Astyanax mexicanus: one gene and its partner. Each later gene encodes a partner of the first gene's protein in a complex. Links are inferred from orthologs where the notes say so. Each region holds a gene or a part of one and is shown on either strand. Other genes may lie near its edges.

Region 1 (3,755 bases):
GGCTAATTGTAATTGATGTAAATTATATTATTTAAAAAGACACAATATCCAGATTGAAATGGGCTGCAATCAAAATATCTGATACTGTGTAAAATTGCAAAAAAAAAAAAAAAAATGAAAATTGCACATATCACTATGTCAAGACACTGTGATTAATACAGTGTACTGTGATGTGTATTATGTTATTTGTCATTTACTGTGTCACTTAATGGTTTTAAAAGCTGCTCTTTTTTTTACTGTGTTTTATACACATCACACAGACATGTTATTTATTCGGAGCTTCACATTGTTTTGTTTTGGTTGCATCAATATGTTTTTGTCCGGTTTCACAGTACTATAATGATTTCAGCTCCTTCAAAACTTGAATATCTGACACATTCTGAAAATAATTTTAGTATTTAGGATGAATCGTGCCCCGTACAAAGTAGTACCTAGTCCATTTTTTATCAAAGCATCTCAAGCGTTTACATTGTCCGCAGTAACAGAATGCCATGCAGTCACTCTAAACGCTATACTGAGCCATAAGATCTAAGTAAACATGACTCGACCAAGTCCACACCACTTTCATTTATCTTTCTGCCCTTATCCATCTGTAAGGTCACATTATTTCAGACTGTTTAAACAGCAAAGCTCAAGATAAAACTGTATCTAAGCCAAATGATTGGAACAGGTACAAACACAGTGGCGTGGTTCAGAGGAATTCACACATAGCGTAATAGTTTCACAAGAAAAAGTAGGCCGAATTCCTTCAGGTGGGGTATTGTGAAATCTGTCCGTTTCACAGGTTGGGAGAAGAAAATGTGTGTTAATGTATACTGTTCACGCAGTTTGGTTTCTACACTTTATTCTTTAGTCTGAAGGAATTTGAATACTGTACTGTAAAATACAGGCATACATCAAGGACATCATCCTCCTGATTAAGCCATTTGTTCCCTAAATTTACCTAATTAAATGTTTCTTCTTTTAACTGAGGTTGCAAAATATTTATGAAGTCACAAAATTGTATTTTTCCATCTGTTGGGCTCTGTAACCTAGGTTTCTATGGCTAAAATACACATTGTTTTTAGATTTTTGCAATACTATTAGACATACCTTGCTAGCTAACATAATGAGATAATACACATAGTTTACTATACATTATATACACAATATTATGCTCCCAAGTTATAATAGGGTTGCATTGCAAGGCTGTTTATTGTTTTCAATATTGTTTTTTTGTTTGTCCAGGACCTTGAAAAGGTTTCAGACCTTTTAAAAATATTAATAATACATAACACTCGATTATCATGCAATATTAAAGTATTGCTCACGTCCTGCTAATGTTATTGATGTCAATTAAGAGAAGAAAACAAAACAGAACCCTTTCAAAAAAGCCATGTCAGGTGGCTAATCCAGGCCCCACAAAGTAAACATCCACCCCAGGATTTTGTTTTAACTGCCCGGACGGCTCTGCTGCAGCTCAAGAGTCTATGCAGTTGGAACAAAATCATGGGATGGATTTTTACATTCTGAACCTTTTTTTTTTTTATTATTAAGTGGCACTCAGGAAACACGGACTCCTTAGCTAGCGTAGCTTGCTAACTTTAACGTAATTAACACATACTAAATGAAATAGCTAGCTTATATAATTAAAACAACATAGCTCGTACAGTCATAGCATGTTTTATGTTTTAATCTTCTGCATAACTAAGATAGCTAGCTGGCTAGTTAGTTACAGCTAAGACATACTGACCAACTAGCTAAAGTCCTGGTAAGAGCCGATAGCTAACTAAGCTAGCTAAGGGCTAATAACATGTTTTACGTTAGCGTTAACTAACTAAAAGCTAACTGGCTGGCTAATTTAGCTACGTTCAATGCGTCACACAACATTTCTGCTCGAGTTGTCCAGTTGTGTGGGATTTAAAAACGTACGAAAGTCACGTAAGAGCATAATTCGAATTCGTGTAACAGTGAAAATACATTATCTAGCGCTATCTGTCAGTTAGCCAGCTAAGCTAACGGGGCTAGAAGTCTCCGAACTGCGCAAGTGAGCCAAGCTAGCTATTTAGCTAGGTTAGCTAAATAGCTAGCTAGCTAACTACGTTAGCCTCATACACAGGTTTATATCGCATTTCAGGGACCTAGTTAACTGAATCAGTGAGGGACTGAAAGACGGTCTGAACACGGTTTATTCTCACACACAAGTCGATTAGGACGTTTTTATTCGTGACCTTCGTGAAAAGAGAAGACGAACAGCTCGAATAACTTAGCTAAGCTCATGAATGTCGTTCACATTCGGAGCATTTCCAAAAAATAATCGGCATAAAACAAGTAAGGGTCACATAGCTAGCGTTTACATACGTTAGCTAGCTCTACCTAAATGATATAACCTAGCGTTAAGGTTGGTGTAGCTAAAATCTGTCAGCAGGAAACATGCAGCTATAATGAGGTGACTTGTCTCTAGTTAATGGACACTCTGGTGTTGGTGTTGGTGCTACTGCTGCAGCATTTCTAATTCTGTAATTCGGCTCACTCTTGGATGGGTGACAACATTTATGCACCCCTGCTTAAGAGCACTCGGGCCTTCAAGCCTGAGCCTGAAGCCCGCATCCCCGGAGCTCGAGTGAAGGCCTCGCCGGCTGCGGCGTTCCAGACGCCGGCCTGTACTCACAGGAAAGGCTCGTATCCTCATCTTGGTGTCCTTTTTGGTGCCGCCTTTGCTGAGATTTGACATGTTTGGCTGCCTCCCCGGTGGTCTCCTCGCTCACATGAAAGACTTGTCCTGGTAAAGGGAAGGGAGATAAGTCCGTGGAGCCGATGATCAGCCTCCACTTGACCTTCTTTAATAGCTGGAGATCCCAGTAGTTTGGGACTTGTTGACAAGCGCCTGACTGCTCGGCTCTGCTGTGCTGTGCTGCTCTCCAATGATGGCGGACGGTACACACACACACACACACACACACACACACACACACACACACACACACACACACACACACACACACACACACACACACACACACACACTGTGTGTATGTGAACCTCTCTCACTACTGCAACACATGCGAATAGATATGAGATGGTCTCCTATATTTTCATATATTCATGCACTGACACATTCATTCAATAAAACAAACAAACAAACAAACAAAAAAAAACATTACTATTAAGTTTACTATGAGTTTTCTTCTCAAAATGTCTGTAAAATAAACAGCAAATAATAAAAAAAAGTTTTCTTTTTAAATTGGTTTCATATTGGCCCCACATACAGCTCTGGAAAAAAAATAAATAGACCACTTCAGTTTCTTAATCAGTTTCTCTGATTTTGCAATTTATAGGTATATGCTTGAGTAAAATGAACATTGCTGTTTTATTCTGAAATAACCTCAGTTTTCATGCATCTTGGCATGTTCTCCTCCACCAGTCTTTCACACAGCTTTTTAATAACTTTCAGCAGTTCAGCTTTGTTTGTTGGCTTATGATCATCCATCTTCCACTTGATTATATTTCAGAGGTTTTCAATTAGGTAAAATAAATAAAAAAACTCATATATTTTAAGTGGCCTATTATGTTTTAGTGATGAGCCCCATCCAAGTTGTACACTTGTGAAGCTAAGGTGCACTGTAATGATGGGGCCTATATGGGACCAACCATATATGGCATTGCAGTTCGGTAATGTTGGATTATTAGTATGATCAGTTCTGCGCTCCAGTTCATCTTAAAGATATGGAGAATCCATATACATATCAGCACAGAGACCCCCACAATCCAATGTT
Region 2 (3,755 bases), on another chromosome or scaffold:
AAAATAACAAAAATTATTCAACTCTCAACAGTTTTTTGAATATGAAACTCTACCATCACCCTTTTAAGTGAATGCTAAACAGGTCTGACAACTAAAAACAAAGATAATCATCAACAACATAGGTTTCTGAGGGGATAAAGACAGTTGGCAGTTAGAAAGAATGTATAACAGCCGACAAACAACAATGCAATGACCCAACTGCAGTGAGGAATAACAACACATTAACACATGCCTCAGGAGACACACACTGACAAATAAGGTTAAGATAGGGTGAACTAATAGAAGTAGCAGCAGTATTGCTTAGAGCTTTAATTATATACTGAAAATAGAGGTGACTTCTTTATAATAGTTTTAATATATCTATTGTTTTCTTTGACCTGTATTGTGTGTAAAGCTATGTAAAGACCATTTATCTTAATAAATGTGAAAATAATTTTTCAGGAGAAACTTTTGATTTTATTGTTAGTACACAGTTGACTCAAAGCTAAAATGTAAGCTAAACTGCTCCAATTGTTTCTAAAGTTATATCTGGGTGTGTGGTTTCTCTGCGAGTAAAAAAAATGTGTATATCAGCATGGATAAATATATGCATGTGTAATATCGACATTGTGCCAGAATTCCCACGTAGGTGCATCCGCAAAAATCTGCCTAAATCAATTAATTTTAGTAGTAGTTGTGTTTGTTTCCTGAAAAAAACATGAAAAACTTTAAATCTACAATGTAGTAAATAATACAAATAAAGGAGAAATAATAATGAGAATGTGTCCAAACATTAATATCTGTTTAAAAATGAATACAGTGTACCAAAACAACTGTTACCCTTTTAACCCAGTTATAGTATTTTTATTACAGCTAATAGCACCCAAAATTAAAGCATGTGCTGAGCTAATGTTTAGCATTAGCTAAAAACATTAGTTAAGTTACATTATAATGTTAACTAATATAATAACCACAATAGCTAACTGTTAGTTATAATTTATATGTATTATTATAGTAGTGTAGTGGTACTATTGCTGCTACTCCTATTACTACTAGCTATTACTGTCATCATTGCCTATTCTAAGCTAATGTTTAACACTAGCTAAAAATATAGCTAAGTAGTTAAATTAGATTAAATTTCAACAGTATACTAATGTAATAACGATAATAGCTAACTTATAATTTCATTGTTTCTTTTTAAATACAGTATATTATTAATGCTGCTACTGTTGTTATTGCCTATGCTATGCTAATATATATTTTTTTTATTTTAGTAAATTAGCTTACATTACAACATTTTCTAATATAATAACCATAATATATAACTTTACAATTATAATTTAAATTTATATTATTATTAGTAATCTGTAGTACTGCTGCTACTCCTACTACCAACGTTACTAGCTGTTACTTTTATTATTACCTATGCTAAGCTAATGTTTAGCACTGGCTAAAAATATAGGTTAGCTAAGTAGTTAAATTAGCTAAAATTTATTTCAACATTATACTCTTATAATACCGATAATAGCTAACTCTTATAATTTAATAGTATGTTTTTTATATTGTAATATATAGTATTTATAGTACTATAACTAAGTTAACGTTACTGCTGCTACTGTTATTTTGCCTATGCTAAGCTAACATTTAGCTTTAGCATTAGCAGCTAGCAGGCTAACTGCCGGTTTGTCATGTAAACTAGCTTAACTAAGTATATAGCGTTAGCTACTCCAGCACGAGCAATATCTCACAAACTGGCTGTTTAAATAGCTTATACATATTCTAAAATTGATTACAAACTTGTGTTAAATTAAACAACCTCGCACTGTTAAAAACAAAACTGTAAAAAACCTCCAAGGAGCGGGGATAGCCCGTTTGCCAATCCGTTACTCTACCCTCACTACCGCCGCTAGCCTGAGTAGCACAGCCCGCTGCTGCCGCTACTCTAGTTACCCTTTGTTAGCTCGGTTTTAGCTAAAAAAAACAAATTACAAACTCAGCAAACCACCTAAATTCCACCTTAAGACTGTCCCACCCCGCTACAGAAGCTAGTAAAGCCGGGGGAGTGCAGCTGGCTCTGCCCGCTTGCCTTGTCGGAGTCGAGGTCCGGGTCCGCCTGGCACAGGCGGTACAGGAAGGACTTGGGGTCCCGGCACAGCGTCTGCCGCGTGGTGAGAAAGTAGGTCCCGCCGACGTTCAGCCGAACCCACTTGGAGGATCCGCCGCTCCCCGAGGACTGCAGTCTGTCCGCCGGGGACAGCGCGGCGCACCTCCGGCCGGCCGAGCCGCTCGGGTCAGGGCTCTTCTCCGCCATCCCTCCTTCTCTCTCTCCTTCTCTCCCTCCGTCTGTCTCTCCGCCTCCCAGCGGCAGAGTGCGGAGCGGAGCGGGGCAGGAAGCGCTCACACGCCCGCTCTACAGACCCGCCCACCCCGCTCCACAGACCCGCCCACCCTGCGGAGTGTGTGCGATTCGATTATTTATATTGTCCTATATAATAAATTAATACCGAAGTGATCCAAACTATTAAGGAAAACATAAAGAATCATGTAGTAACTTAAAAGTGTTAAACAAACCAAAATTACTGGTATCTGGGGCGGTCCTGGTGAGTCTTGATGAGTTCAGCACAGCTGTTAACTGAAAACCTGAATTCCAGGTGACTCTACCTCGTGAAGCTGACATCTAAGCATACGGCGCTACTTTTAATAATGTAAAATATGAAGCATATTCTGGTTTGTTTTACACTTTTTGGTTTATTAAATAATTCCATGTTTTTCTTTCGTAGTTTGGACGACTTTAGTATTACTTTAGTATTAGTCTAATGCAGACAATTTTTTAATAATAGAAAAACACCTAATTTAAGATGAGTCCAAACTTTTCTGTTTCTCTACAGGTTTATTAGATGTGTTTTATATAGTAAGATGATATAGTTGAGTGTAAAATAATAGATAACATTAAGAATATTTGAAAGGTGTGAAAATAAATCTAAGTTAGTTAAAATACAATACTTTTTACTCAATAGATACTGTAGTGCACTAGAGGCCGAGATGTTGCAAGATGGTTGTTGTTGTGTATCCCAGCAGATTTGCATGGAATTGCTAGCTTGTTGATATGACATTGCTAGATGGTTGCTATGGTATTTGGGGTCGGGGTGTATGCTTTGTGGTTGCTGTATGCCATGGGTGCTGTAGTGGCAGTTGCTATGATATGCCAGGTGGTCTGCCTGTTCCAAAAAGCTGGTATATTGGCTAAACCTCATCTTCAGGTATGTGTTTGATTTTGTTAAAATAACAGTGAGGGAATAATTAGCACTCAGTCAGTTGTGTTATGTTATGTAAATGTTTTGCTGTTGTTCACATTTCCACTGTTTGTTTTGTTGTTTGTCAAAATGTATTACGAGACAAAGGAAACCTATTTATTTATTTAAGGAGCAAAGTTAAACAACATATAAACCACCCTTAAACAGTAAGGCTGTGTTGATTTTACCTAGGAAGTCAGATGATGAATTTGGAAAAGATGTCACGCCCAAACTCACGATATTCCTGTTAAACATTCATATTAATTTTATGATACTTAAAAAACCATTTAAAAATGAAAAACTCCAAAGTCTTTTGTTAACTGGTTTGACCGTTATTTACCAGTGTTTTGTGTCAAATTCAACCAAAGTATGCCCACTTTTTATATTCCATACACTATATTCTATTAAAATTTGAAAATTGTCAAGTACCTAGTAGGAAATTTTAACTGGAACTCCTACAGGTCAAATTTCATTTCACCCACT

The links. Proteins that work in one complex are often made in the same cells at the same time.
Region 2: the proteins of cul3b (region 1) and kctd5a are in contact, whole or in part, in a cryo-EM structure (PDB 8U83), measured with the Homo sapiens proteins. The link is inferred for Astyanax mexicanus from reciprocal best matches to the Homo sapiens genes CUL3 and KCTD5. Residues at the interface, in NP_003581.1 of Homo sapiens: Thr24, Met25, Asp26, Glu27, Lys28, Tyr29, Val30, Asn31, Ser32, Ile33, Trp34, Asp35, Leu36, Leu37, Asn39, Ala40, Glu43, Asn48, Ser50, Leu52, Ser53, Glu55, Glu56, Leu57, Arg59, Asn60, Ala61, Tyr62, Thr63, Met64; in NP_061865.1 of Homo sapiens: Trp45, Phe55, Leu56, Thr58, Thr61, Arg64, Asp65, Lys67, Ser68, Pro96, Thr97, Tyr98, Phe99, Gly100, Pro101, Leu103, Asn104, Tyr105, Leu106, Arg107, His108, Gly109, Lys110, Leu111, Val112, Ile113, Asn114, Lys115, Leu117, Val122.

What each region holds. Positions count from the first base shown.
Region 1 is NC_064411.1:43,401,336-43,405,090, reverse strand, and holds the start of cul3b (cullin-3b), read right to left. Parts: upstream 2,927-3,755; 5' UTR 2,714-2,926; coding exon 2,651-2,713; intron 1-2,650. UniProt on the Homo sapiens protein: Core component of multiple cullin-RING-based BCR (BTB-CUL3-RBX1) E3 ubiquitin-protein ligase complexes which mediate the ubiquitination and subsequent proteasomal degradation of target proteins.
Region 2 is NC_064410.1:59,428,821-59,432,575, forward strand, and holds the start of kctd5a (BTB/POZ domain-containing protein KCTD5a), read right to left. Parts: upstream 2,349-3,755; 5' UTR 2,291-2,348; coding exon 2,066-2,290; intron 1-2,065. UniProt on the Homo sapiens protein: Its interaction with CUL3 suggests that it may act as a substrate adapter in some E3 ligase complex. Does not affect the function of Kv channel Kv2.1/KCNB1, Kv1.2/KCNA2, Kv4.2/KCND2 and Kv3.4/KCNC4.